3 linked regions of the Schizosaccharomyces pombe genome follow. Changing the gene in region 2 together with the main gene of any one other region gives a genetic interaction. Each region holds a gene or a part of one and is shown on either strand. Other genes may lie near its edges.

Evidence for each region. Genes that interact genetically often act in the same process or in processes that back each other up.
Region 1: mutations in tfa2 (region 2) and put1 together harm fitness less than expected from each alone (positive genetic interaction), as found in Schizosaccharomyces pombe (one large-scale study listed by BioGRID).
Region 3: mutations in tfa2 (region 2) and mix17 together harm fitness less than expected from each alone (positive genetic interaction), as found in Schizosaccharomyces pombe (one large-scale study listed by BioGRID).

Annotation. Positions count from the first base shown.
Region 1 is NC_003421.2:2,347,711-2,357,106, forward strand, and holds put1 (proline dehydrogenase), read right to left. Parts: upstream 4,869-9,396; 5' UTR 4,497-4,868; coding exon 3,018-4,496; 3' UTR 2,558-3,017; downstream 1-2,557. Other genes in the region: transcription factor Adn3, read left to right, coding at 1-551; inh1 (ATPase inhibitor), read right to left, coding at 1,655-1,927; SPOM_SPCC70.04C (uncharacterized protein), read right to left, coding at 5,861-5,991, 6,036-6,203, 6,264-6,699; extender of chronological lifespan protein Ecl1, read right to left, coding at 7,835-8,077.
Region 2 is NC_003421.2:577,072-585,539, reverse strand, and holds tfa2 (transcription factor TFIIE subunit Tfa2), read left to right. Parts: upstream 1-4,982; 5' UTR 4,983-5,226; coding exon 5,227-6,084; 3' UTR 6,085-6,320; downstream 6,321-8,468. Other genes in the region: histone H4 chaperone, CENP-A recruiting complex CENP-A chaperone Mis16, read right to left, coding at 1-1,054, 1,143-1,248, 1,321-1,405; SPOM_SPCC1672.09 (triglyceride lipase-cholesterol esterase), read right to left, coding at 3,345-3,868, 3,914-4,301, 4,418-4,874, 4,913-4,947; U3 snoRNP-associated protein Utp21, read right to left, coding at 7,236-8,468. UniProt on the Schizosaccharomyces pombe protein: Recruits TFIIH to the initiation complex and stimulates the RNA polymerase II C-terminal domain kinase and DNA-dependent ATPase activities of TFIIH. Both TFIIH and TFIIE are required for promoter clearance by RNA polymerase.
Region 3 is NC_003424.3:2,321,924-2,329,884, forward strand, and holds mix17 (CHCH domain-containing protein), read right to left. Parts: upstream 3,381-7,961; 5' UTR 3,241-3,380; coding exon 2,722-3,240; 3' UTR 2,558-2,721; downstream 1-2,557. Other genes in the region: SPOM_SPAC6C3.03C (uncharacterized protein), read right to left, coding at 4,409-4,711; citrate synthase Cit1, read left to right, coding at 5,938-5,939, 6,724-7,961.

The DNA of each region.
Region 1 (9,396 bases), 1.8 Mb from region 2:
ATACTAGCTCATTGAATGCACCTGGTGCGAAGGATTCTTCTTCGTTTTCTTCCTTACATGCGCAACCAGGAAAAAGTGGAATAGCTACAATGGGTGTCGCCGACAATACTATACGCACAACCGAACGATCGACTTTCTCTGAGATAATGAAAGATTCTCCCTCTGCACATGCTTCTCCAGGGGCAAAAACAAGCCCTAATGCATCTAGAGCTCCAGAACCGACAGGAGGAACTAATTCCATTTCACAAGATACTACTCAGTCTCTACAAATGCAATCTAACAGCGTTAATTCATCGTCTATGGTGGATGCCTCTAAAAGCAAAGAGAAAAGTGGCGGCGATACATCCGCTTTGGATTCAAATGCGAAGAATGAACCTACGGCGGCAAAGCCAATTTCTAAACTCGAAGATGATGCTTTGTTTAACGATAGTGCTGGAAATGCATTCGGCTTTTCTTCTAAAACCGACAGTAATGTTGAAATGTTAAATGATTTTGACTTTGAAAGTTTCCTAAATGATGCTGGTGCAGATTCGGCATCTGTTTATTATTAGGTGCCGATTTCCTTTCCTACTTTTCTTCAACGCTACCTGTGGAGACGTTGTTTGTGTAAATTAGCTTGGATGGATGAATATTTCTTCTTTATTTGTGTCTGTTTAAATTTGCATGGATTGCTACAATTACCGGTTTTTTTTTTATAATTCTCATCATTAATCGTGCCATCCAGCCCGATAGGTGTATTTTACATGAAGCTTTTCCTGCCAATCTACTACACCCATCGAATTTTTACCATATTGTTGATTTTCGTTATTTATAAGATAATGTGTAAATAAATAAGAACTGCTTTCAAGCGTATATAATAAATATGATTCATCATTATACTAGCAGGAATTTTTATCTACGTGTTCTGAAGAAATAGTTATTACTTAATTAAGTAGCACCATTGCATAAGCTAAAACATTTTGGAACTAACGATTTCTGTAAACAATGTTTGAATACCAAAGGAGTTAGCATAACAATACTGCTTGCATGATATGATTTCACGGTCAGTAAAAGCAATCCAACATTAATCAATTACACAACCTTTTTTTCTGGATAATGATTTGCAGGGTGAAGATGAAATAAGCAGGACTATGAAACAAAAGAAAATCGCGAGGGGTTTTAATATTGATCATTGGCAGTATCGCAATTTACAGCAGGGAGAGACAGCTGGAATTTAAGGAAATATGCTGATTGCCTAAGTTTAATTAATTAAACTACAACATGCGAAATTGAAAAATTAAGCATCAATCCGAACAAACTTTCAGATCTTACAGAAATATGCGTTTTTTAACACATTGTTTATAAACATATTTTAATGAGGCCTTAAAAAATAGCATTCAATTTTATTAACTATGATAAGTAATCGGAACCGATAGATAATCGAAAAAAGCAGGGTTCGCAGAAAGACTCGGCTATTTGAAGAGAAGGGAGTTGTAAAGGGGGTGGCATATCCAAAAGCCGTAATGATATCTTTTGTTATAACAGAAACAGCTGCTTATTGCACAATGCACTTATTATGGTAAGCAGCCACATAAAAAATCATTGTTTCGCTATATTGCCAACAATCATTACGCTTGAGGTCGATTTCATGAAAGAACATGCTTAAGCATTAGAGTTATTCATTACTCTTCATTTTCTTATCAACGCGGGATTCCAATTCATCAAGTTCTTCACGATGAAGTTTGAGGCTTTCCTTCAATTTTCGAAGTTGCTCAATTTCATGTTGATGAACAAAAAAATCCTCTTTAGCCTTTTCACGGGATTCAAATGCGCTTCGCTTGGCTGAAGAGGCGTTTGCCAATGTTGGATCGGTATCGCTAGCCTTCGACATGAAACGAATACCACGATATGAAATGCAAGCTGGTTTCCTGAAACAATACTTGTACATCTTTTTTATGATAAAAGAGAAGGAAATTTCCAAATAAAGATTTGCTCGATCCTACTAATGGAGTGGGAGATGGGAGAAAGTGAGTGACGGAAACTGGGTGTGTCGAGTAGATGAATTACGTTTAGTCGCCGAAACTCAATTGTAGGCGACTTTCTACGCACCATCCACCACATTTGATTTTCATTGATTTCAAAGACATTTGTTTTTTGTACCCTCAGAATTTTGAGGTTATCACGCAATTAGTAAATTAATAAGATGATACTATCTATGCTTGGAACCGAGAGCAATAACGCCGAACTTTGAGCCTTTATATTTATGTAGCTATTTACAGCAAAATGCTGGAATAAATGATGGTTTTTTATCGTTTCTAAAAATTTGAAGGCGTTTTAAAGAAAATAGTTTAATTATCAATTCAAGTAGTCCATAATTAGGACTTTTCTAAATGTAAGTTTCGAGTAATCTACTCCTTAATAAGAAAGTATGAATAAAAAAGTTTAGGTCTATAAATTCGGAAAGATAACTGTTATTTTAGAAGAGCCTTATTGTGTATATTGTCATTTTGAGAAATATATAAATTTTGACAGTTAAATACTAAGCGCTGATTCAGCTGATTTCAATGTCTTAGTTCCTTGACAATAGTAAAACAATTGATATATGACAGGTTTGACTTTTTAAACAGATTGGGGCACTTACTTGGTACTTGGAAAGTAAACATTATATGATTTCGCCGCAAATTACTAGTTTGAAATTTCATGAAAGGAATATATTAACGATGGTATGAGAAAACTCATATAAGCGTAGACAACGTCCTTAAATATTGAATGTATGAATAAAGGAGATAAAGTACGGCCTTTGAATTGGGTATTTATTACATTATAGACTTAACCGTGACTATATGAAGATAACGAAGGAAGGTTGACGTGAAAAAAAACGAGCGACGATATTCTCTTCACAAATCATATGTACCAATAATGAGTATAATTTAACAATGTTACAGCAGACTTGAAGCTTCGTATAGTGAATCGAATAAAACGCCTTTTGCTTTCTTTCAATTATAAGTACCAAACCCCGGTCAAGGGAGCGGAGAACATTAAAATATACGACGACGAAGAGCTTGTCGGTAGTAGGCTCGTTCCTCTTTACATCTATCAAGAGCATCAATATTCTCACGTGCCCTGCGTACTAAGTAAGGAAGGACTTCACTGATAGGTCCACAAGAAACATATTTTACAATGCAAAAATTGGGCTGTTGATTGCGCTGAGAATAAGCCAAAGCATAGGTAATATCATCAGCCATACCCAACAATTGAGCCAAATAGAAAGAGGTTTTCGTAAAGTCAACTTTTTTGGTTTCTGCCAAATTCACCGATTCAAACATTGTTTTCTTATTGTGACTAGCAACCATAATTCCCCATTTTCCTTTACGAGAGGCAATCGGGTCAGAAGCAGAGGCAGGGTCACCTGGAGCAAATTTGGCAGCTGCGGCAATTATAGCTTCCACAGCTGAATCAAAATCTTTGTCTGTCTCGGCTTTTGTGTCGTGAATTAAGAATCTTGGTTCCGAGTTCAAATAAGCACCACGAACGAGTTTTGCGCCCATTAGCCAGCCCTCAGCAACACATTTCTTGATGTGGTCGTCCATAATTTTTCTAGATTTCTTCAAATACAACTGATAAGTATTATGAACGATTGCAACCTCCTTATTGTATTTTCTCATTAAGTCAACTGTGACGGCATGCATGCAATCTTGGAAATAAGTTTGCTCAGCATCAATAAAGAGTGGGATTTGTTTCTCTTTTGCAAATTGACACAGTTTGTCGGCATACTCCCAAAATTTCTTTAATTCGCTAACTTCATAAGTTGATAATTCAGGAGACTTCAGATGCTCCAAATAGTTACACGCTGATTCTACCGGATACTGGTTCAAAATGGAGTTGTATCGTTGTAAAACCAGAGGATTAATGAATGGGGTAAGCTTAACAGCGCAAACAGTTCCAGGCTTATAGGTTGCCATATCAATGATGTGCATGTTTGATTCAAAAGCCTTGTCCGCAATTTGTCGTAACACTTTCTGGTTCTTCTCAGAAGGAACAGGAACCTGAGGAGGTACTACCCCTTGAGAAGCGATCTTATTTACATCCATATCGCCGTCCAAGTCAACTTCACGAGAGTAATTCAAACAAGAGGTAATACCTGCTGCTTGCAACGTATCCATCGTAGCCATGACAGCCTGAGGCGTCTCGCCACCACAGAAATGTTTGTAAAATGTATAGCGGCAAAACGGATTGTATAAAAATGATAGATGGAAGACGTCGCATAAACTCATCGCACCTAGCGATAGCTTCACTAGCCAAGCTCGAGAACAAATTTCATAGACAAAGGCACTACGGAGGACGCTGAAGAGAGAACGGTGCTGCAATTCATCAGGAAATCCTTTGGCAAAAAACGCATCGAATTTGCTGTCATTGCGAATCTTAATATTGCCAGCTGTTATTAACGAACCAGCACCAATACCTAAAATGACTTTTCGATTTCTCAAAACACCGGAAGCAAGGCGAAAGGCACGCATATTGACAAAATGAAAATAAACACACTTTGTTGATAACTTTAGTAAGTCGTATATTAGAATTCGCAATAGGAATTGGTTTAGATAAAAGGGGGGGGGGTTTGTTAGATTAGGTCAAATTAAAAACTAGATTGAAACACTTTTGAAAAGCCCGACAAGAGACACTGACGATTCGCTGTGGCTAATTTTATCACTTTCTTGAAATCGTAACTTTTGCACACACGCTCAAGAAATTAAAATGAAAGAGAAAGCAAATAATTGTTTTTATGATTCAATGACTATTTTGACTTCAAGAAGCAGTAAAATTACAATGACTTAATTAAAGTGGAGGCTAGCGATTCTTGTTCAACCACTCAGCAGTTGCAATACACAGTTGCTTATAAATGCGCAATTTCAACTTTAAATATCAAATTCGTTCCATGTGACTGTCCCCCCATAGCGTATCATTTCGATAATCTGCTTCCATCCCTATAGATATAACTATGCCTCAAAGTATGAACGCTGTGCTATCAAAGAAGGTAAATTGATAAAGCACGGACCATGAGTGACAAAAAGGTGCTGCGCACCCAAGATAACGGGAGCTAACTCCCAAAGTCGCTTAAAGTCAATACTGTAGGATAGATTTGTGAGATAAACCAGCAAAGGTATCTACTTTTTATTGCCGGTTCCGATTTAAGTGCGATGGATTTGGGTACCATGTGTTTGGAGAGGTTTTGAACAGGTTTGATGTTGAAGGTTTCAAAACGTTTGAACTTTGTTTAAGGAATTGGATCATGCTGTAGCAGTAGACTTGGTTGAAAGTAAAAACATGTTAAAAGACTAGTTAGTTTTAAAAAGCAAAAATCAGTTATGTCATTTCTATGAAATTGTCGTCTCAGGTTGAAAACGATAAAAGTAGTTGTGCATGCATAAAAAAAGACAATGCAAGCCGCCTTGAAAAAGGTATACCCACTTGAAATTCAAAGCAAGAGTTAGTAGTTGTACATACGTTTACAAGTTCGGATGGAAATGCGAAACAATCATCCGCGGAATAACGGAACTCATAAACAAGACGAGAAAGTCGTAAGCAAAGCAAATACAGCGCTAAAAGCTGTCATAATGCTGTCCATGAGGAAAAAATTAAATTAAAGAAAACAGAAAAAGAGATAAGTAAAAAGGACATCGGAAACATTTAATTCCAGTCAGTTAAACACAATTACATTGGTATTTCAGTCATGTCCAATATTTGTAAATCAAATGACATGAATTACTCGAGATTCCCTCAACAGTCTAAGAAAAAATATGGATGCACATGATGCATGCATGTAATAGCCGTGCACCCTTTAATGCTATATTAAACAGAACCTCAATAACATGATGATAATTAGCTAATTCGGAGGATTTTGATGCACTAACGAAGAATCGGTTTTTCGTTCACCCGATCCGTCCAACTGCATTTTAGTTGGAAGTTGGCGTGAGCGAGATAGTGGATGATATAAGAACAGAGAAGAGAAAACGTCTAAAAGTACGGTTAGAAATTCACTTATGTCTTAGGAAACGTACAAATTGGGAAGTCAATGGTAACAAACTTAGTGAAAGCAATTGTTACCGTCACAAGTGCTTGAACCATAGTGCTCAAAACATTGATGAAGAAGCCCTTAGAAATATCTAGCGTAGAATTAATGGTATATGAATAGTTGGTTGTCAGGAACATTAAATGATGAAATAAACCTATTCATTCATTAGAGACTAGAAATGATAACGTGGACAAAGTCCAGTGTTATAGCTTACCAAACAAAGAAACTGTAAGCAATGCGTCCAATGCTATAATCAAAATAAAAAGTAGGGAATATTCTGAAGCTTCGAATTCAAGTAATTCAGAATTTGAAAGTACATAGTATGACCAGAATAACGTTGATAAGATAACACAAGTGCCCCATAGTCGTTCACGACTGTAAGTATAGTGAATACCAGGAAATTTAAGTACTGGATCAAATTCTTTGTAAGGAAAATTACCAATTGATAGGGAGGACTTTGTAGGAGTGAACAAGAGCTTGGGTTTGGCTTCACAAGATAGTTCGTTTACAGTAGTTGCTTCTTCAGAAGGATTTTGAGATTTAGGTGACTCATTTGTCTCTCTCATCGTTTCAATTACATCTATCCAATCTGTTTCAAGCGAAATTTCTTTGGTTTTTGATGGTAATGGCTTTTTGTTATTTTGTTTCATATTTTAGTGATAAGGATCAACAGTAAAAGAGACTTAAGAAACAGTTCACGATAGAATGAGCAATTGGGGAAATTAATTAGATTTTTTAGTGAATTGGAAATTTATTCAATGATTACTAATTTGGTAAACTGACAAATGGACATGAATCGGCTTTTTGTTCTGAAAACAAAGGGTTCACAACCTAAGTTGGGTGCGGTAAATAATATAACGAATAACTGTATTATTCCCTAATGACTGATGGCAGAAGTTGTCTACCCTTTATTTTTGTATATTGTGTGAATGGACAGGATAAAAATAATGAATATTTTGATGCGCCATAAGAATTTTGGTACATGATATTTACTAGTAAGGAAAGATGTGGATCTTTTATATCATGTTCGTGCACAATACTAAATCGTTGAATCACAGTGTTAGGCAACACAAGTTGTATCTCGACTTGGGAATCAATTCATTGCTACTGTTATCGAAGATTGTTCTCATGGCCACTAATCCATTACGTTCTCTACCTTTGCGATACAACGTATATAGACCTAAGAAAACAAGGGCATTTACAATTTCATGCATTGTGAAAAGATGTATTCTTAATTACTAAATCAAATGAAAAGCAGAGTATGACCGCGGATTAAATTGCTGGTGAAGAATACTAAAGCCATTTAAACGCATCCAGAGAAAATAAACAGAAAAACGCTTGTCTTAATCTTTGCATGTTCCGTTATCAGCTTTGCAAATAAAAAATATAAACAAACCCACGAAACGATACAATAACAATAATGTGTACATCCTCATATCCCATAACAATGTTTAAGCATCATTATGTTAGGTGATAATAATGTACAAGCACTTATATTAAGAATAGGGAAAAGAAGAAATAAATAAACGAACCGTAACGTAACGAAAAGAAAAAGACCAATTATCGACATTGCCAAACCATTAAAACCATACATACATTCATAACTCATAACAACGAATTGAACCACGTGCACATTATTCCTGCTTGGAAGAAAGCGCGTCCTGTGCAATATTGATACAAGGACTTCTTTGAAAAAGAGAAGCAAAGGAAAGAAAGATGTGCAATTAATACAGCGTTGAATACTTGTAATCTGGGTACCTTACCCATAAACCGATTCTAAGTAGACTACGCATGTAGTTTTGTGTAAGCACTGAACCGTGGTGTAGGGAAATCGGCGGAAGTCATTGATTTGCGATGGAAATGAGCTAGATGTTCTGAGACGAGAAATTGATATTCGGAGGATACAGAGATATTAGATGTGGTTTGAGTGTCCAACTTGGTGAAATCCAAAAGATGGCATTCAGAAGAGCAGTACAAACTGCCATCCTGAGTGGTGGCTCCACACACTGTGCAAAAATCCAAATCCATCGAGTGAGTAAACTAACAAGGAAAAGAGAACGAAAGGCGTGGTTCGATAACTTATTGAGTTAACGTTACAAGTAAGTCTGTATTGATTTTCTACGCAATACGACACAGTATAGGAGGATATAAAAATGCGGCAGAGGATAATTTAAAAAGAAGAAAAAGAGCCTAGTCCGCAAAATGAAAGAATCAAGAGAAAGCGAAATGAAACAAATAGAAATAAATAGAATCACTATTTGTCAAATTAACCAAACCTTAAAGCAACCTAAGAATAGTCCGTCTTCAAGGGAGAGATATGATTTAAGTAAGCTGATTCAAAACTAGATGAGCGTTGTGGAAAAAAAATAAACAAACAGTCACTGTGATATGTTTGAAAAGGCTTTAAGTAAATACGTGAATGAGAGAGTGTGTATAATAAAGTGTGCGTTGGTAAACAAACAAACAAAAAAGCAAGTGAAACCCAACAACGACGCTCGGTTTTTTTTTACCAAACTAAAGATGCTGGGGAAATAATAAAGGTATGTAATGACTGTTGAACCTTAAGAGTCCGAGTGCTCGCATATATATAGTGTGATAGATCGGTGCTTGTTTACATATGTAATCGATCAATCTCGCATCACTCTGAAGCGATGATAAGATATTTGATGATCATTACTCATCTTTTCTCATATTGTCGAAATACCGCATGATAAGGTCGGAATAAGAAATAAGGATAAGGAAGAAATTGTTACAACGTTAAAAAGCAGGTTTAGTGTGTCGCTGGACTACGTAATACATATGAACGGGAAAAAAGGTCGTTAAGAGGTATTGAAGGAACGCTAGGTATTACCGGGACAGAATGTCAAGGAAGTGTGAATGGGCGGTAGACATATTTGAGAGAACGAAAAAAGGGATTTGAACTATTAAATGCATATTTGGGAGGTTGTTTGTTTGTTTGTTTGAGTATTCGTAGCGGATTAAAGAGTCACTGGCCGCATTCGTTGAGTTAACGTGTACGCTCAAAAAATTAGTAAGACGATGAATTTGGCTGACTGATCAAAAAAGTTACATCACAACTGTTTCAAACAAAATTAAAAAGAAATTTCTAATTAAATGAATTTCAACATAAAGTGATTGAAGCGGATCCGTGGTTTCCTCCTTGCATTATTGTAAATGCAAAAAAGCAATCGCATGATTTACTCTAAGGTTTGCGACTGTTGTGAGGAACATTTCGTGAGTCGCCAGTTTATTTGTATCACATCTCCTTTTCTCAAACTACTGCTTCAATCCCGTAGTGGCAAAAACATACCACAGACTCGGGAGACATTTCTTTTTCGCCAGTATGG
Region 2 (8,468 bases):
GACACGAGAAGGGCTCCATATTTGAAGGATATTATCATCGGCAAGACTTCCAACCACCCAACGCTCGTTTGGACACCAACTAAATTCTGAGATGCGATTTGTGTGGCCTCCATGCATAAATAGTAATTCTGGAGAACCATCCTCGGCATCCTCCGGAGTCTGTTCCTCTCCAATCTTTTCTAAATCCCAAATACAAACACGGCGATCAGTTGAACTGGATGCCAATATAGGTTCATCATGAGGTGACCATTCTAACCCATATACCTCATCTTCGTGTCCTTCCAGGGTATGCAACCGTTGATATGGATTACGGAGGTCCCAAAGAGCTACTGTTTTATCAGCACTGGCTGTTGCTAAAAGATAGTCATTAAAGGGATTAATGGCAACGGCATTTATGGCTTTAGAATGAGCCTGAATAACTTTGGGAGCTTCTTCTTCTGGATTTAACCGAGTATCGTGAATTTGCAAAGTGCAATCATCCGACACCGATGCTAATAATGCCTCATGTTGAGGATGAAATTGAACATCGTTAACAATATCAGTATGACGATGATATTTGGCTATGGGGGAAATGACTTTTGTCTCAGAGGAAGTAAAAGATTGTGTCTGAACATCCCATAAACAGATAACTTGATCCTCTGCTCCTGTTGCTAGATTTCCAGGTAAATTCGGGTTCCAGCAAAGACCAAAACCTTCAGCAGTATGGCCCTTCAAAACTGCTTGAGGAAGTGCTTCACCTGTAGTTAAGGCATCATGACAAGTTGTATCAAAAATATAAGCATTTCCTCCTTCTCCCATGGTAGCGATGATTTCAGGCTTTTGAGGCATGTAACGAGCACGATTGACATCGCCATCGTGAGGGATTTTTTGTGAAATTTCAATCGTATACGAGCCCGTGGCCTGTGCTCTTCGAATCGTAGAAGGAGTAAACTCGGTGGTATCCTCATCAAAGTTTGGTAATTGCACAGAAGCAATCTGTAAATAATTTTGATCATTACCAGATGTGTGAGTGCCAAGAATAAGACGTTGAATAGAGTAATCAGTACCTGGTATTCTTCAAGAATCGAGTTAGAAAACTGATGAGATGGTTTGAAGTAAAGGCCAGTATAATCATAGCCTAACTACTTTGGCAAGCAACGTACGTTTTTTTGTCAGGAAGCCATTGAATTGTCAAAGAAGGCCATTCCAAAGCGTGGGTTATTACCAAGTCATACAGAAAGGGAACATTTTGTTTCCAAAGTTTGTATTCTGAAACGAGTATAATCGTCAGTAATTACGGCATAATAATATATATTAATGAAGAATTCCCTTTAATCATACCTTCTTGTATTGTTTTTTGTAAGTCTATCTCGGCATTGAGTTCATTATTCTCGAGAGGTGCATCCTGGACTACTTCCTCTGACATGTTTTGGGCAACTACACAATGGCCCAAACTAGATTGCCAAGTTAAAAGTTTTGGAGTTATAAGTAATTTACATTATTTAAAGATGCCCAAATAAATCTAGCGCACTCTTAAGTCTGAAATAAAAAAAAAATAAAATAAAATTCATGAACAGCGATATAGAAAACAAGTTTCAATGAGCGAAAACAAATTTGAACATGCCTCTAAAAACCATTACTTGATGCCACGTCTCCATGAAAACAGACATTCATAGTGAGAAGAATTCCTCAAACATCGTCTTTATCATGCTCTAATAATTATAAAACCATTTGGCAAAAACAAATATTATAATCTCAGTATACTTTGATAAACAGATTGTCATTATATTTACACTAAAAATAAAACTATTGAACCCAGCCATCAATGGGATATTTATACTGTTGGCTCTACGAATTGTTTTACAGTACACCGTAAATTTATTAAACAAATCATGTAGTATTGCAAACTTTGGGTACGTATCTAAACTAATCAAATATAAACTTTTTTTAATTAAAAATGTCTGGGAGACAATCCCATCCTTGACCCATGGAAAAAAGTCAACGACCGGGAAAGCCACTCAATTCTTCGCTGAAGACGGAACGGATGCATTTTCTTGGTCCGGAGACTCCAACCATCATACTTGACTTCAGGATTGATTTTACTTTACTTATATAACAAAGTAAGTTAAAACCTACTGATGATGGTGAATCATCAACTGAACAGACCCTATATATAGTAAATTTGTTGTGACGGTTTTTACCTTAGGTTAGGGTATTAGAAACGATGTTCTGGAGACTAAGTAAAATTTCATATGTAAACAATGGCTGAAAAGAGAAACTTGTGAAATGACTATGAGTTTTGGCTGATTTTAATTTATATGATTAGCTAGCTTTAATAGCACGTAGTCAGACTTTTGGGTACTTGTCGTGGAAACTTTAACATGCTAACTTGATAAATTATTCGATAACAGTACAATTCAAATCGTGTCTCTTATTTCTTTTAACCTCATCATAGCAATTTACTGATTTTAATTTAAAATATTTATTAAATATAGTTGTGAATTAAAAAAAAAAAATTCCCAGATGAGTACTTTCTTTCTAATGTTATTTATTTTGATATACTGAGGAATTTGTATACCGCATTGCCTTAAAATGCATGCCAACAGTGGTCTAGCTCGTTATTCGTCTCGACTTTTTTTTGGAATAATGCTTGCGTTTGCTAAGTATTTTGAGGAGGCAATTAATATCAGTATATCAATTATAAGAGAGGAATTTAGTATAATTGGAGTATATTTGCACGTTTTGAGTTGTTGATCGTAATCTTATTACTTCAGATGTTTTCATAGCGACTTCTGGTACCCATTGTATATTTATAATTATTGTAACAGTTTTTAACATTGCATTCTTTTTTTTTCTTGCTAAAGTAAATTCATCAAAATTTAGAGGTATTTCTATGAAAGATCTATCCATATCATGTAAATTTTTGTGTTGCCTACATAATCGAGCATCCAAACCTTGGTTGTCGGATACACCTTAATTAATCGGGGCACAGAAGAAATTGAAAAAAACAATAAGCAAAATAATTAAATTTTATGAACCGCAGTCTTAACAGTCATTATTATTAACCTGCTACTTCAAATGCGGTTTTGTTAATGACAGTAAAAAATACAAACACTTCAAAGTATTCAAAGATGAAATTTTCGGTGTGCATAAGCGTAAATAATCACAAAACTGAGAACAAACAGGTCATCAGTAAAAAAAGGCAAAATTTAGCCTTTAGGAAACTTTTTCTCTCTTTTTTTTGAACAAACGGATAACATCAGGGATTCGATATCTAGCAATAATAAAATAGTAACGTAGAAAACATTAACTAATAATAAATATACAAAAGATGTGTTGAGGCAAAGTCTTTCAATTCAATCAAATTAAATTGGTTTATTCCTAGGAGCGATATGATTTTTTTGGATTTCACGATTTTCTTTATCATTCTCCTCATGCTCTGGTGGATGGTGAATGTCACGAAGCCTTCGTAGTACAGGAGGTATAACATAATCTTTAACTGTGTCTGCCCAAATCATGTCCAAGTGTTCATAGCTATCAACCTTAACATGCTCCACCTCCGCAGGCAAAGCATTCAACATCGCTTGGATATCAACGAGTGAGTCGCTGCCTCCCCAAATAAGATAAATAGGGGTGCGAATATTATTTGTAGGGAATTTGGCAGCTTTGTAATATTTGAGGAAATAGTCATGACCAAGCTGGTCATTATCATACATTCTAAATTCTGCGCTTCTCATGATTTGAAACCAATGCACAAGGCACTTTACACTAGTATATGAATACAAATGGGCGAATGAAACCAAGCGTTGATAGGAAGAAATGTTTTGGCAAGACCAGTTAAATAACTGAGACAAACAGTATGCAAGGACTGCATCAAAAAATTTTGGAGCTGGATAAAAATGTCAGTGAAATTATTAAAAGAAAAAAACCGTACCTAAAAAGCTTTGCCAGAATCCGGCAGACGGCAAAATAGATTTTCGTCCGAAAAGGAAAAATAATATGGAAGGTCTGGCTTTTACAAAGGCATCTACAACTCTGTTATGTAAACCTTTTGGACTAATTGCAGGTGCTAACGCTATCAAAGAGTTGATTTTGTCATTCAACAGGGGATGGATACTCAAAGAAGCAAAAGCTTGAGCAGTGCCCTGAGAAAATCCTATATAAGTGAGCTTTGTTTGCCCAGAAGTTTTTAGAATATAGTCAATGGTATCGGGAATATCGTATTGAGCAAAATCGTCAATGCTAAAGTCCCAAAATTCCTTGTCAGTAGAGTCGAAGCGAAGATGTTGACGACTGTATTTATTTCCTCGATTATTTCCGAGCTTAAGCACAATTAGTAAATAATTTTTAAAAAAGAAAACTCGAACGAAAACCATATTAACTTTACCAGTAACTAATTATTTAAAATATGATAAATTGAACGCAGCAAAATACTTACCCAAACATCGTATCCTTTATTTACGAGATCAAATACTAGGCAATTTCTGGGGTCTACATTACAAACCCAGACTTCCGAATTCATCAAAAGACCGTGATGACAGTAAACGACCGGAAGCTTTTTGGGATGAGGAGAACCAATTCTTCCAGGGGAATCCTTCGATATCCTATGAATACAAAGTATGTAATCATCCTCTGTTCTAACGAGATGGTCCTCAACATAATACCCAGAAATTTTGCACATTTCTCGTATGTCAGCTGCATCGTGAATTGCCTTTGCCCTTTGAAGGCTAACGCTTCTCGACCTTGATCTTTTCTTTGAACGTTTTTTAATCTCATTTCGAACTACTGATCGATAAAACAAGCCTAGCGTATTGTGAATCATGAAGGCCAGGCATGAAAGTAATTTTTCAAAGATTACAAAGAAAAACCCCAAAAATAGGGCCATATACTCTTCCCTTTATTTGTCAGTTAATATATTAAAAGATTTGCATACCATTTTAGACGCTGAATAAACGGTAACTGAATCATTTCGCATATTGCGTGGAATGGAGGTACTAAACCTTGCCCTCTGCCAAACAACTATTTTTGGGGGGACTTTTGAAATTGGTTTAAAAGCAATAGCCTTTTAAATTTATTTTAGTATTTTGCAAACAGAGATAAATATTTTGTTTGTTTTCTATTTTTTTACAAGGTTGTCGGTCTATAAGTTCGATTTTGTTAACAAAGCCTTGGGTCATAATTTTGAACAGAATTTGCCCACCGTTTGATAGTTTCATTTCCGACAAGCTAACAACTACTTTTAAGGCTATGAGTTCACTAAGCGATCAATTATCTTCGTTTAAAAAGAAAGTCGCAAATCAACCTATTTATGCAAAACCTCAACCTCGTCAACCAGCTTCTCCGACTCCAACAGCTTATTTGAATTCAAATGATGGACATTCTTCTGCCGCTTCAAGTCCAGGGTCGTATTCCCTGAAGAAAAAGCGCTCAAAGACGTCTTTGGTTTACTCGCAACCCGCTGATTCTGGTGTTGGAACGCATTATTTATCACAGCTACACTATGCAGTTGAGTATTTAAAAGAGAGAAATGAGCCTAAAACGGCTGAGGAAATTGCTTCTTACCTGTCAACTCCATTGACTCCTATGTTACTCAATCTTTTGAAGAAAAATAATCGCATTTATTATGATGAAAGAAATGAAACGTTTACCTTTAAGCCATTGCATAACATTCGCTCAGGAGCAGGTTTATTAGCATATTTAGATTCACAAAAAACCCACGTTGGTATGAGTATCAAAGAGCTTCGAGACGGATGGCCCAACGTTACTGTTGAACTTGAAGAACTAGAAAAACAGGGAGAAGTGCTTTTATTACGTACAAGGAAGGATGGCGTTCCTAAAATGGTATGGAGAAATGACAAGAGCTGCGATTGTCATGTCGATAAGGAGTTTCAACAAGTTTGGCATGAGATTCCCATTCCACCCACTTTGGATTTAGCTTCTGAACTTGGAAAATACGGTTTAAAGCCCACTAGCGTGGATCCTTCAACCGTAAAGCGTGCTGGTCATAATCAAACGCCTAAACAAAAGAAGCCCAAAACTCGACGTGGAAAGATTACGAATACACACCTTAACATTCTTCGTGATTATAGCTCCATGAAACCTTGAAATCATATTAAGGATCCCATATTTTTTAACTAAAAACTGTGTTGCTTTTGGTATTTAATTTCATCCGGTTACTGTGTTGTTGTCTGGTACTGGATGTGTTTGAAAAAATAGCTATCTATCTTACATTCCTTTTTCCAAGATTTGCATGGACTGGACATATTTCCTCTTTGTTTCTTCTAATCTATTTGCAACTATGGAAGAAAACTCTATTGTTTAATGATGATGATTTTTTACATAAACTGTTAAACCTATATTAGCTGACAATTAGTCGGTATTGTTGACAAGTGCATTTATTGCTCTGTAGTTAATTTGCACTAGTATACAGTGACTAAGTAGACAATTACATTTAGTTTAAACAGAAATTCTTATCTTTCCCTTTTGTGCATTGTCGAAATAGAAAGATCAGTTATGTATTGAAAGGTGTGTTTATGTAGGTGAATGTTTTGTGGAAAGGAAAAAAAACGTATTTCTTCACTCATGCTAATAAATTGATTTCATTAGCATGCATTTTTGTAACGAAAAAATAAATTAATATTAGCTCCCGGCGGGACTCGAACCCGCAATCCCTTGATTAGAAGTCAAATGCCCTAGCCATTAGGCCACGGGAGCTAGTTAGTAGAACGTTATATTATGTATATTTTATATATAAATTTATAATTTATCACCATTTTTATCCTATACTGCTAACTCTAAAAGATGTAGAAATATATGGTAATTCGTAAATATAAGAAAGCAGAGTGCATGACTAAATAGAAGATCGATGTTGGTCACTTCAGTGCTTTCCTTTAAATACGTTTGCATTTTCGAGACAATAAAATTGAAACACCCGAGCATTTTGAGTCTCAGCTTACAACTGTTATAAATTATTAAGAAAGGAATCCAAGGTTTTGCAGAATTTCCATATGTGCTTCATTACTTTCTGCACGCTACAATCTCTATGATTTTTTAACTATATAGTGCCTTCAATTTTTGTCATTTACCATTAAAAGATATTTATTTTTTTACCCAAAAATTACTAATGAAATAAAACCTTTTGAACACAGCCAATGTAAGCAATGACATATCCCCTAAAACTTTAACAATTTCCCATCCTAATTTGCTTTTTTTTCTGCTCCTGTTTTGTACATTTACCACTTTTTTACGCAGATGTATTAAGTACGCATAAAGCTCAAAATACCCGAACAGTAGCCCACCAAATCTAAAAGACGCTGATTTTCTTCTTTATGAACACTTTCCCATGCCTTCAAACTTTCAAAAACAGGTACCGTATCTTCGGGAGTATCATGCATTAGTAATACGTCCTCGTGTGACTTCGTAAAGACGGACATACAAGCTTGGACGAGCTCGAAATCTCTTCTTTTAGAAAGCCTTCGTGTCATAATATTGATAAATAATATAAATTCTTCATAAGGCGGGTATGCATCCAATGACCGAATCTCCAAATCGATCTTTGCTGGCCCGAGGGATTTTAAGTACTCGAAAAACGCATCATCATCGTTTCCATGTAATAAAGTAGAAAACTCGGTGCCGGATACTTTTATGGAGGCAACAGCAGTCGGCTTTGAAATCTCAGTTGCTATAGGCTGCTTGGGCACTGTCGCTTCTGATTGATCCTTTAAGGAAGGCAAGAAAAACGGTGCTTTCTCGGGTACTTTGGGTACTTCCTTGGGAGCATTACGAGCCTTAATTGCTTCTAGATTAATCAAAGTTTGCCATTGAGTGCGTGGGAGTTTGCTAAGAGTTTGCAAGTTGGGATCGAGTTGATCCATCGTCCGATATGATATATCTTCTTCATCTTCAGCATTAGACTCGACATTTAGAGCGGCCTCTACCACAGATATTCCTTTTTCACCAGATACGGAAGGAGCTGAAACTTCAACAACATCATCAAGGCGAAGTGCCTTTGTAGAAACGTGTTTGAACATTGAAAGGTTCGTCCATAAGCTAATTCCCACCTGGTCCACATGCGTTGTTGCCAGATAATCACCAGTTGGTGCAAATGTCAAACTTGTGCATACACTGGGTGTAGAAATTGAATCAATTAAGTGACCAGTGGGTAGATCCCATGTGCGAATTGTTCCATCTAAAGATGCAGTAACAAGCCATCTGCCAGTATCGGAAAAATCAAAGCTGGTGAGACGATTCGAATGACCCCATAATTCACGAACAATCTTCCTTGTTTGTACGTCAACAATGCGAATGCCGAAATCGTCACAAGCGACAGCAACGAGGTCTGATGAATGTTGATAAATCGCATGAGTAATGGAACTTCCAACGTCTAATGAATCTATTAAGTTTCCTTTGTTGAAATCCCAAAATTTTAAAATCCCGTCCAGCGATGCAGTTACAAGAATGCGATTTACATTGTCCAACATAACTGCAGT
Region 3 (7,961 bases), on a different chromosome or scaffold from region 2:
TACTGCCAACATTTCCCTCTCCACAATGTCTTAGATAGTGGGTTACAGGGAGTATAAGGAACAAGCTAGTATTGACAAATGATGAGACATTGAGAATTGGGCACAGGGTAATGGGCTAAAAATTGGGTGCTGCACCGAAGCATCCTTTGGTTGTGAAGATAAGCAACTACAAATTTTAGGAGTAAGTTAACAACGGCCCCATGGAGATAGAAAAAGGAAGAATGCTAAAAGTCGTGAACAAAGGCGTAATCGTCAAAGAAAGGTAAATTGCAAGCACAATGAAAAAGATGATTTTTTACAATAGGATCCAATAAAGCGAAAAAAAAAACAAATAAATAACTAAAGAAAAATAAATTGAATTTTGATTAGTATACAAAAAAAAAATTAAGCACAATCTAGATGAGCAACAAAGAAAAAAAGGGAGACCTTTAAAAGAACAAGGTGAATATGTTATATTACTGTCTGGATTAATGACTGACAAAGACAGAATACGCAAGCTATAGCCAAGCTAAGAAACGAAAAAAAAAAGAAAAGAAAAAAACAAAACAAAACAAAGGTAGTTAGTTTGTCAAGCTATGAATAAACTATTTTCGTCGTATTTTCTTGAGCGTTCTATAGACTGTTTATTCAACAAAGCAAAGCAATAGTATAATACTAGTAGTAAAAGGAGTAACAATAGGAAAAGCCAGCTTAGCGTGTACCGAGGTTTTCTCAAAAAAAAAAAAAAAAAAAAAAAAAGGAATCGCTTGCTGAGATATCGAACTCTACCCCTTGAATCTAACATTCACATGACCTTTTGTTTCTTTGTTTGTCCCCATTTCTAGATGTGTTTTTACCTTGGAATAAAGTCTCGGTATTCTAACTCCGATTGCCTATCTCTAACACTTTGTAGTGGGATGTGCAGGGAGCAAGCTAAATGCACGCACTCTGATGGAGTGAGTTCTGGATAAGTGACAGCTGAGTATAACGATAAACATCGTCGTACAGTTTAGCTTCCCTTTGAAACAAAAATTTTAAGTATGTGTAATGGTGCTTATTTATCGAGGAAAAGGGTGAATCTATAATAAAGAATGGATCGTTGGAATGTAGAAAGTAGTCGATACTTGAAAGTGAAAACAGATGTTGAAAAAATTAGTCGATGTTTAAATGTTTAAAAATAATAATAATAATACTAATACTAATTTTAATTCTTGTATTTTGCTAGTTAAACTAGAAAACTGCCAACGAAATACAAGCATACATACATATCTATATCTATATCTATATATAGATATAGCTATGTTCCTTTCCAGACACCAGTAGACTCGGTCTATATCGCCAGCATTTCTTAGACTAGGATTAGAATGGGATAAAAATATGAAAAAGGGAATGCTGAGGAAGGATGAATAAGAGTCGTTATATGTTTTTCTTTACTGTTTACTTTTTCTTTTTTTCTTCTTCTTTTCTAGCTCGCCTTTGGCCCAAATTAAGCTCATTAACCTGATGCTGTCAGATATGACTTGACACTCTCTGTGATACTACATATGCAGACAATTTCTGGACGAAACATTAAATTTTCCGATCTTCAATCAACGTTCCGAAATGGTCTACAGAAAGAGTAACAACAAATTGTATGTAGCGTTGGATATGAAAATGCACTGCGTGGCATAGCATACAATACTCTTACAAATGCGCTTGGCAAAGACGATTCAATTTAAGATTGCTGTTATGCTTACAGTATAAACCAAAGCAGCAAGAATGGAATCCCCGTCCCGTAAATTTTTTTTTCTTGGTAATACGTTAAAAGTATAACTTGGCAGACATGTCGAAACCGATCATTTGTAAATCAGCTTCTCTTAACTATCTCTAGTGGATGCAATAGTATGTTAAACTAACAAACACGAGTACATTTGAAAGACTCATAAACCAAATTCGATGATGATCCTTTTGTTGATAAACCGTTTTATGGTGGATCTTTGGCGTATCCTATCCCTTACTCTTCTTTCAGATATGAAACAAAGTAAATAATAGCCGAGGCAACCATCTATAAATCATCATTGTTTAGCTGCTTCCCCCCCCTAACATGGGACGTAAGACAATGAAAGTTTAATTTGCTTTTAATTTTCGTTTTGAAAAAAGTTTGTTAGATATGGTTCGCTTCCAACCTTCCTACTTTAATAAACAAGTCGGAACTCCAGCTAGCATAAAATCTGTGGGAGAACTCTCAAAATGCTTTGAAGAGTGACTGTATCGATTGATTGATTGATTGATGGGGTGAACTAGGTAGCTGTATGAACTGAACCATCCCTACTATTAAGAGGTATGAAAACGTACGCATGTTAAGAGAAGCTCTAACTACATTACCATACTGTTATGTACTACTCTTCTCCAAGCCAGATCATAGAACTTTCTAAAGAGCATAGATTTCATTTAATTTATTTATCAAGCTTTCTAACTACGTTCTTCGTGAACTTTTTTATTACTGGGCCATTTTAAAAAAAAAGAACTTCATTACTAAACCAAACAAAAAAAATACCATATATGATTTATTTCTTCTCGTTCTTATACTATGTCTTATACCAGGGAAACCAGTTATTATTTACTGCTTAACAAATGCTATTAGGGTTCAACGTTCTCGTTAGTAGAAACATGAAAAAAAAAATTTCGATGCTGATGCTGATGCAAACAAACTGGGCATAACTTTTATTTAATAGAAAAATAAATAAATTAGTTCATTGCCTCTTATTGTTGGTTGGACCACATGGCCTGACAAGCCTTTAGCTGTTCCAAATAGTAAGAACATTGACTGAACTCATGCTCATTTATACAATCTGCAAACATTTTAGCATCGCCCTTGCAAGCATTCTTCGCCTCTTCAGAAATAGCACTGCTGGCAAAGGTGGATGGAGGTGCTGAACCATAAGCGGCTTCTGGAACACTGTTGCTGTAACTAGATTGAGGTACACTAGTATCAGCTGGAGCATTGTTGGAACCACTTCCAGAAAAACCGCCTGTTATGACGCTGCCAACCGTGTGTCCGATAGCACTTCCAATACCAACACCAGCCGCTGTACTAACCAGATTGCCGAAGAATCCAGGTGAGCTGCCTCCTTGGACGGCGGTGGGAGGAGGAGCCTGTTGCACACGACTAGGAGCAGGAGGAGGTGCCATTGTCCTAGGAGGTAAAGCAGCAGCAGTGGAAGCACTTCTGGCAGGAGCTGCACGGCGAGGAGGAGGTGCGGCAGAACGTCTACGAGGCATCGTACTTATTTATGTGAAGAGATGGAAATGGGCAAAGGAAGTAAGAGATAAACAAAAAAGGATTAAATTTTATGAAAACTCGTTTACGATATCTGCAAAGGAATACCGTCAATGAAAGGATAAACGATATACGAGTGTTTAAGAGGCAGATGGCGGAGAGCACGAATATATATAGCGTTGCTAGAAGAAGCTGAAGAAAATCGATGAATGGAGAGAATCGTTCCGACCAAACATCGTCTTCGCTATAGCGGATTGGAAGACATGAGGTACAACTTGGATATTTGCACCACTCAAGTCGTATAGACCAGATGCCCTTGGGGTAACAGTTACCTAACAATCCAAGCTGGTTTACTAATACAAATGGATGCACAAGTTTTCAATAAAGAAAGAAAATTGCAACTTCCATCACTTTCAAAACTTTTATTTATGATTTTATCTATCATTCTCAATAATCGTAAATTTTGGACACATGTATGCAAAGCAATTTGACTTTGTTTTTTTTTTTTACGTAAAGAAACTTTTTTAGCCAACATTATTTATAACGTAGTGGATAGAATCATGTTATTATTAATTAGACGGTATATATTCCAAAAAATAAAAATAAATAAATAAATAATAAATACGATAAGTAAGGGAATATATGAGAAACAATTATATAATTGATCAATTTAACCTAAATAGATACACATCATCGACTTGGTGAGTCAGAGTATAAATGAGATTATTGGAGTTTTGTTATGCTATTGTATAAAACTATGAAGCAGCTCCAGGTTCCACACTAGTGAAATAGCAAGATTGTGAAAAATCAGCTTATATAAATGTTTCAGTTGATTTCAAATGATGTTACTCTTAACTCGTTTTAAATAAATGGGTGTATGTGAAATAACGAAGCAATTTGGGAATGCAAAATCTAATATGTACGTATTAGTTGTTGATGGATCTCTTTATATTTTTATATGGAAACACTAGTAGTCATGGTTTTAATAGAAAAGCAGTCTAGAGAGATATGTTGGAATTCGATACTTTGCATCAAAGTGTTCTATTTATTTATTTATGTTGCGTCTGTCAAGTCAAAGCACTTGAAATGACTGTTGTTGTAAAAAAAAGGAATCCCGAAGAAAAATTATATGTTTTTGAATTAATTCATTTCTATATTTATTTTTAAGAGCTATTTTTGAGTTTTGAATCCTCTAGCCAAAAAGTAGTAACTACAGTCTACACGCTCTCTTACCTTGGCCGACGGGGTATGTACAATACCAACTCGAACGGTTCCCCACATGGTTCTCCAATGTGGGATACTTGGAATGGTATTCAGTAACGATCTAAAAGTCGCAATTCTAATATTCCACCCCCACTTTGTCTCATTGGGGTCCAAGTTTTTGGATGGGAATAAAAAGCGAAACGAGCTGTAACGCTTAGCGTTAGTGAAAATAGCGATTACCACTAGCAATCCTAAGAAAAAAACATCCATCTAAACTTCGTCAATAGCAATGGTTGAGCAGTTAGAAAAAGTTATCAAAAACTTTCTTACCTATAAAAATTATTTTCTTGTCGCTTGTCAACATCTCTATTCATTTATTCACTCCCGATACATGCATATGCATTGCCGTAACGCACATGCAAGAGATGAAGCTACTTCAGTCAACGTTCATTGAGTAAATATTTGCATAGCTAAGCAATTCTTTTCTGTATCTATTGTAGTACTATGTTTGACTGAGAAATCCGCTACCGCGGAAGTTCTCCTAAATTTTGATCTTTACTGATATCATTAGCTCGATCGATCGGAGCAACTACCCTTTTTTACCTGATCAAGACAAGCAAATTCTCGAAATTCGGCTTGTTATCTATTTAAAATTTCAAAAAAAAAAAAAAAAAAGAAAAAAAACTTATGAGAGATAAAATTTGTAGCACAAAGTATGGTAACCAAGAACCAAAGATGCGTTTATTGATAGTAACAGTAAATAGCACTTCACTTGCAAGGCCAACAATACAAGACACTATGGTAATGTAGATCAGTACGTTTTCAAAGCATAAAATGTACAAATTGTTTGTTGGTAGGAAATCAATACTTATTCATACCCATCTCGTTTCTCTCATTGTTGAAAGGATATAATATCAATCTATGTAGTCTAATTTGTATCATTCAACAATTATGGAAACATCGGATACGCCTCTTTTCAAATTTTCTTACTCCTTAATTTATTTTTGATCAAAGTACATCTAAATAATAAAATATTATTTTTTCCTGCGACGATGAACCGGGTTTCCATGCAAGGTTGCCTGTCCCAATCATAAAAGTGAGATTTGACTTTTCAACGGGTTTGTAAGTTGTAGGCTAAAGTTCATTAGTAAATATGTGATAAATAAGGCTTTCTTTCTTCATTACAATTTTTTCTTACTGTTTGGTGGATTTCGGCTTTGTTGCCCAAGTCATTCTCCACAAACCTTCTTCACTTTACTGAATTTTAAGTGGTTTTGTATTTCGTATTCACCGACATCAGAAGCGAGTCTATATGCTAAGGTTGTTCCTCTCCTCGGTTTTGGCTAGTTGTTGAATGGACAGAATCATGGGGCACTGACGTCGCACCCTCCCCTCCGTTCATGCTAATGGTACTCAGGTTTACCGAATAAATAGTCCCCCATCCCAGCAATTATTCTTTCCTTAGCCAATATCGGTGCATTGTAATACCCTTTTTCATGTAAGTGCAAGCCTAAAGGTGTTTGAGATTTGATCTTGTCGAGAGGCAGTAGGATATTCTCTAGTGCATAGTTTAGAAAATCCTCCTTTGTGATAATTTTGATTTTGCGTTTCGTTGGCCTTTTGGTCTTACGAAATGTCGGTTTTCTTGAAAGAAAGTCTTATATTTTTGGTTGGAAATATAGTTTACTCGATGCTCTAATTCATGTCTGCCAATGCTAGGACTTTTTTCATCTGCGCTTATCTTGGGGTCAATCCTATACATAGCGTATGCAAATTTTCACTCAAAATGGGTTCATTTCTCTTACTTTGAAGAGGATAGAAAAGGTCTTCAAAAGCTCAATTTTTTTTTCTATTTAAAATTAGATGCCGTTATTGATAATGACTACGCTACTAAATTTGTGGTTCCTGTCTATATCTATGACCCATCTGAGTGTGCTCAGATTAAGCACACTAGTTGAATTGAAAATTAATTATTGATTTTTGATAACAAACCCCGTCTTTAGCTTGTTTGAAATTAAAGTGACTTTTCTCATTGGCGATTATTGATAGTCAATTTTTTTTCTATTTTTCACGATAGTTCTCTTAGATATTATCATTAACCGACTTTCTATTCTTATTGCTTATTTCTTTTTTTCTGTTTGTTAAATTTGCGAATCGGCCTTCACTATCTCCTTGATCTGATATCCTTCGTTCTCTCATATTATTACAAAGGAGCTTTTCCCGCATTTCACGCCTTCTTTTATTTCCCAAGTTTTACTTTTTACTAACTTTTAAATTATTAGGATGATTATATTAAACGCACCTCGTTTTATGACAAACACAAGATTAGCTAGTACTCGACGACTTGCTTCGTCGTTACTTTCTCAAGCGTCGCTTCGTTCCCGTCAATTAAACCCCCTTTTCACATCTTCTTACTCAACTCGTTCCTCTTCCTTAAAGGATCGGTTAGCTGAGCTTATTCCTGAAAAACAAGCAGAAATCAAAAAATTTCGCGCAGAACATGGCCAAGATGTCATTGGTGAGGTAACTATCAATCAAATGTATGGTGGTGCTCGTGGGGTTCGTTCTTTAATATGGGAAGGCTCTGTTTTAGACCCTAACGAGGGTATCCGATTCCGTGGTTATACTATCCCGGAATGCCAAAAATTACTTCCTTCTTCTCCCAACGGAAAACAGCCTCTTCCTGAATCTTTGTTCTGGCTTTTAGTTACCGGGGAAATTCCTACTCTGAGTCAAGTGCAGGCGCTTTCCGCTGACTGGGCCGCCCGTTCTCAGTTACCCAAATTTGTTGAAGAACTCATTGACCGTTGCCCTCCTACCCTTCATCCAATGGCCCAATTCTCTCTCGCTGTTACTGCACTTGAGCACGATTCTGCATTTGCTAAAGCATATGAGCGTGGAATGAACAAGCATGATTATTGGAAGTATGAATATGAAGACTGCATGGATTTGATTGCCAAGACCGTTCCAATTGCCGGTCGTATCTACCGCAATTTGTACCGTGATGGTGTTGTTGCTCCTATTCAAATGGATAAGGACCATTCGTACAATTTTGCTAATGTTCTGGGCTTTGCTAACAATGAGGAATTTGTGGAGCTTATGCGTCTTTATTTGACCATCCATGCTGACCACGAAGGTGGTAATGTATCTGCTCACACCGGTCATTTGGTAGGTTCTGCTCTTTCTTCACCCTTTTTGTCGATGGCTGCCTCCTTAAATGGACTTGCTGGTCCCCTTCATGGTCTTGCCAACCAAGAAGTTTTGAACTTTTTGATTACAATGAAGAAAGAAATCGGTGATGATTTATCTGAAGAAACAATCAAGTCTTATCTCTGGAAGCTTTTGAATTCTGGTCGTGTTGTTCCTGGTTATGGTCATGCCGTACTTCGTAAGACAGATCCTCGCTATACGGCTCAGCGTGAATTTGCACTTGAGCATCTTCCTAAAGATCCCATGTTTCAACTTGTAAGCCGTCTGTATGAAATAGTTCCAGGTGTTCTTACAGAGCATGGAAAAACCA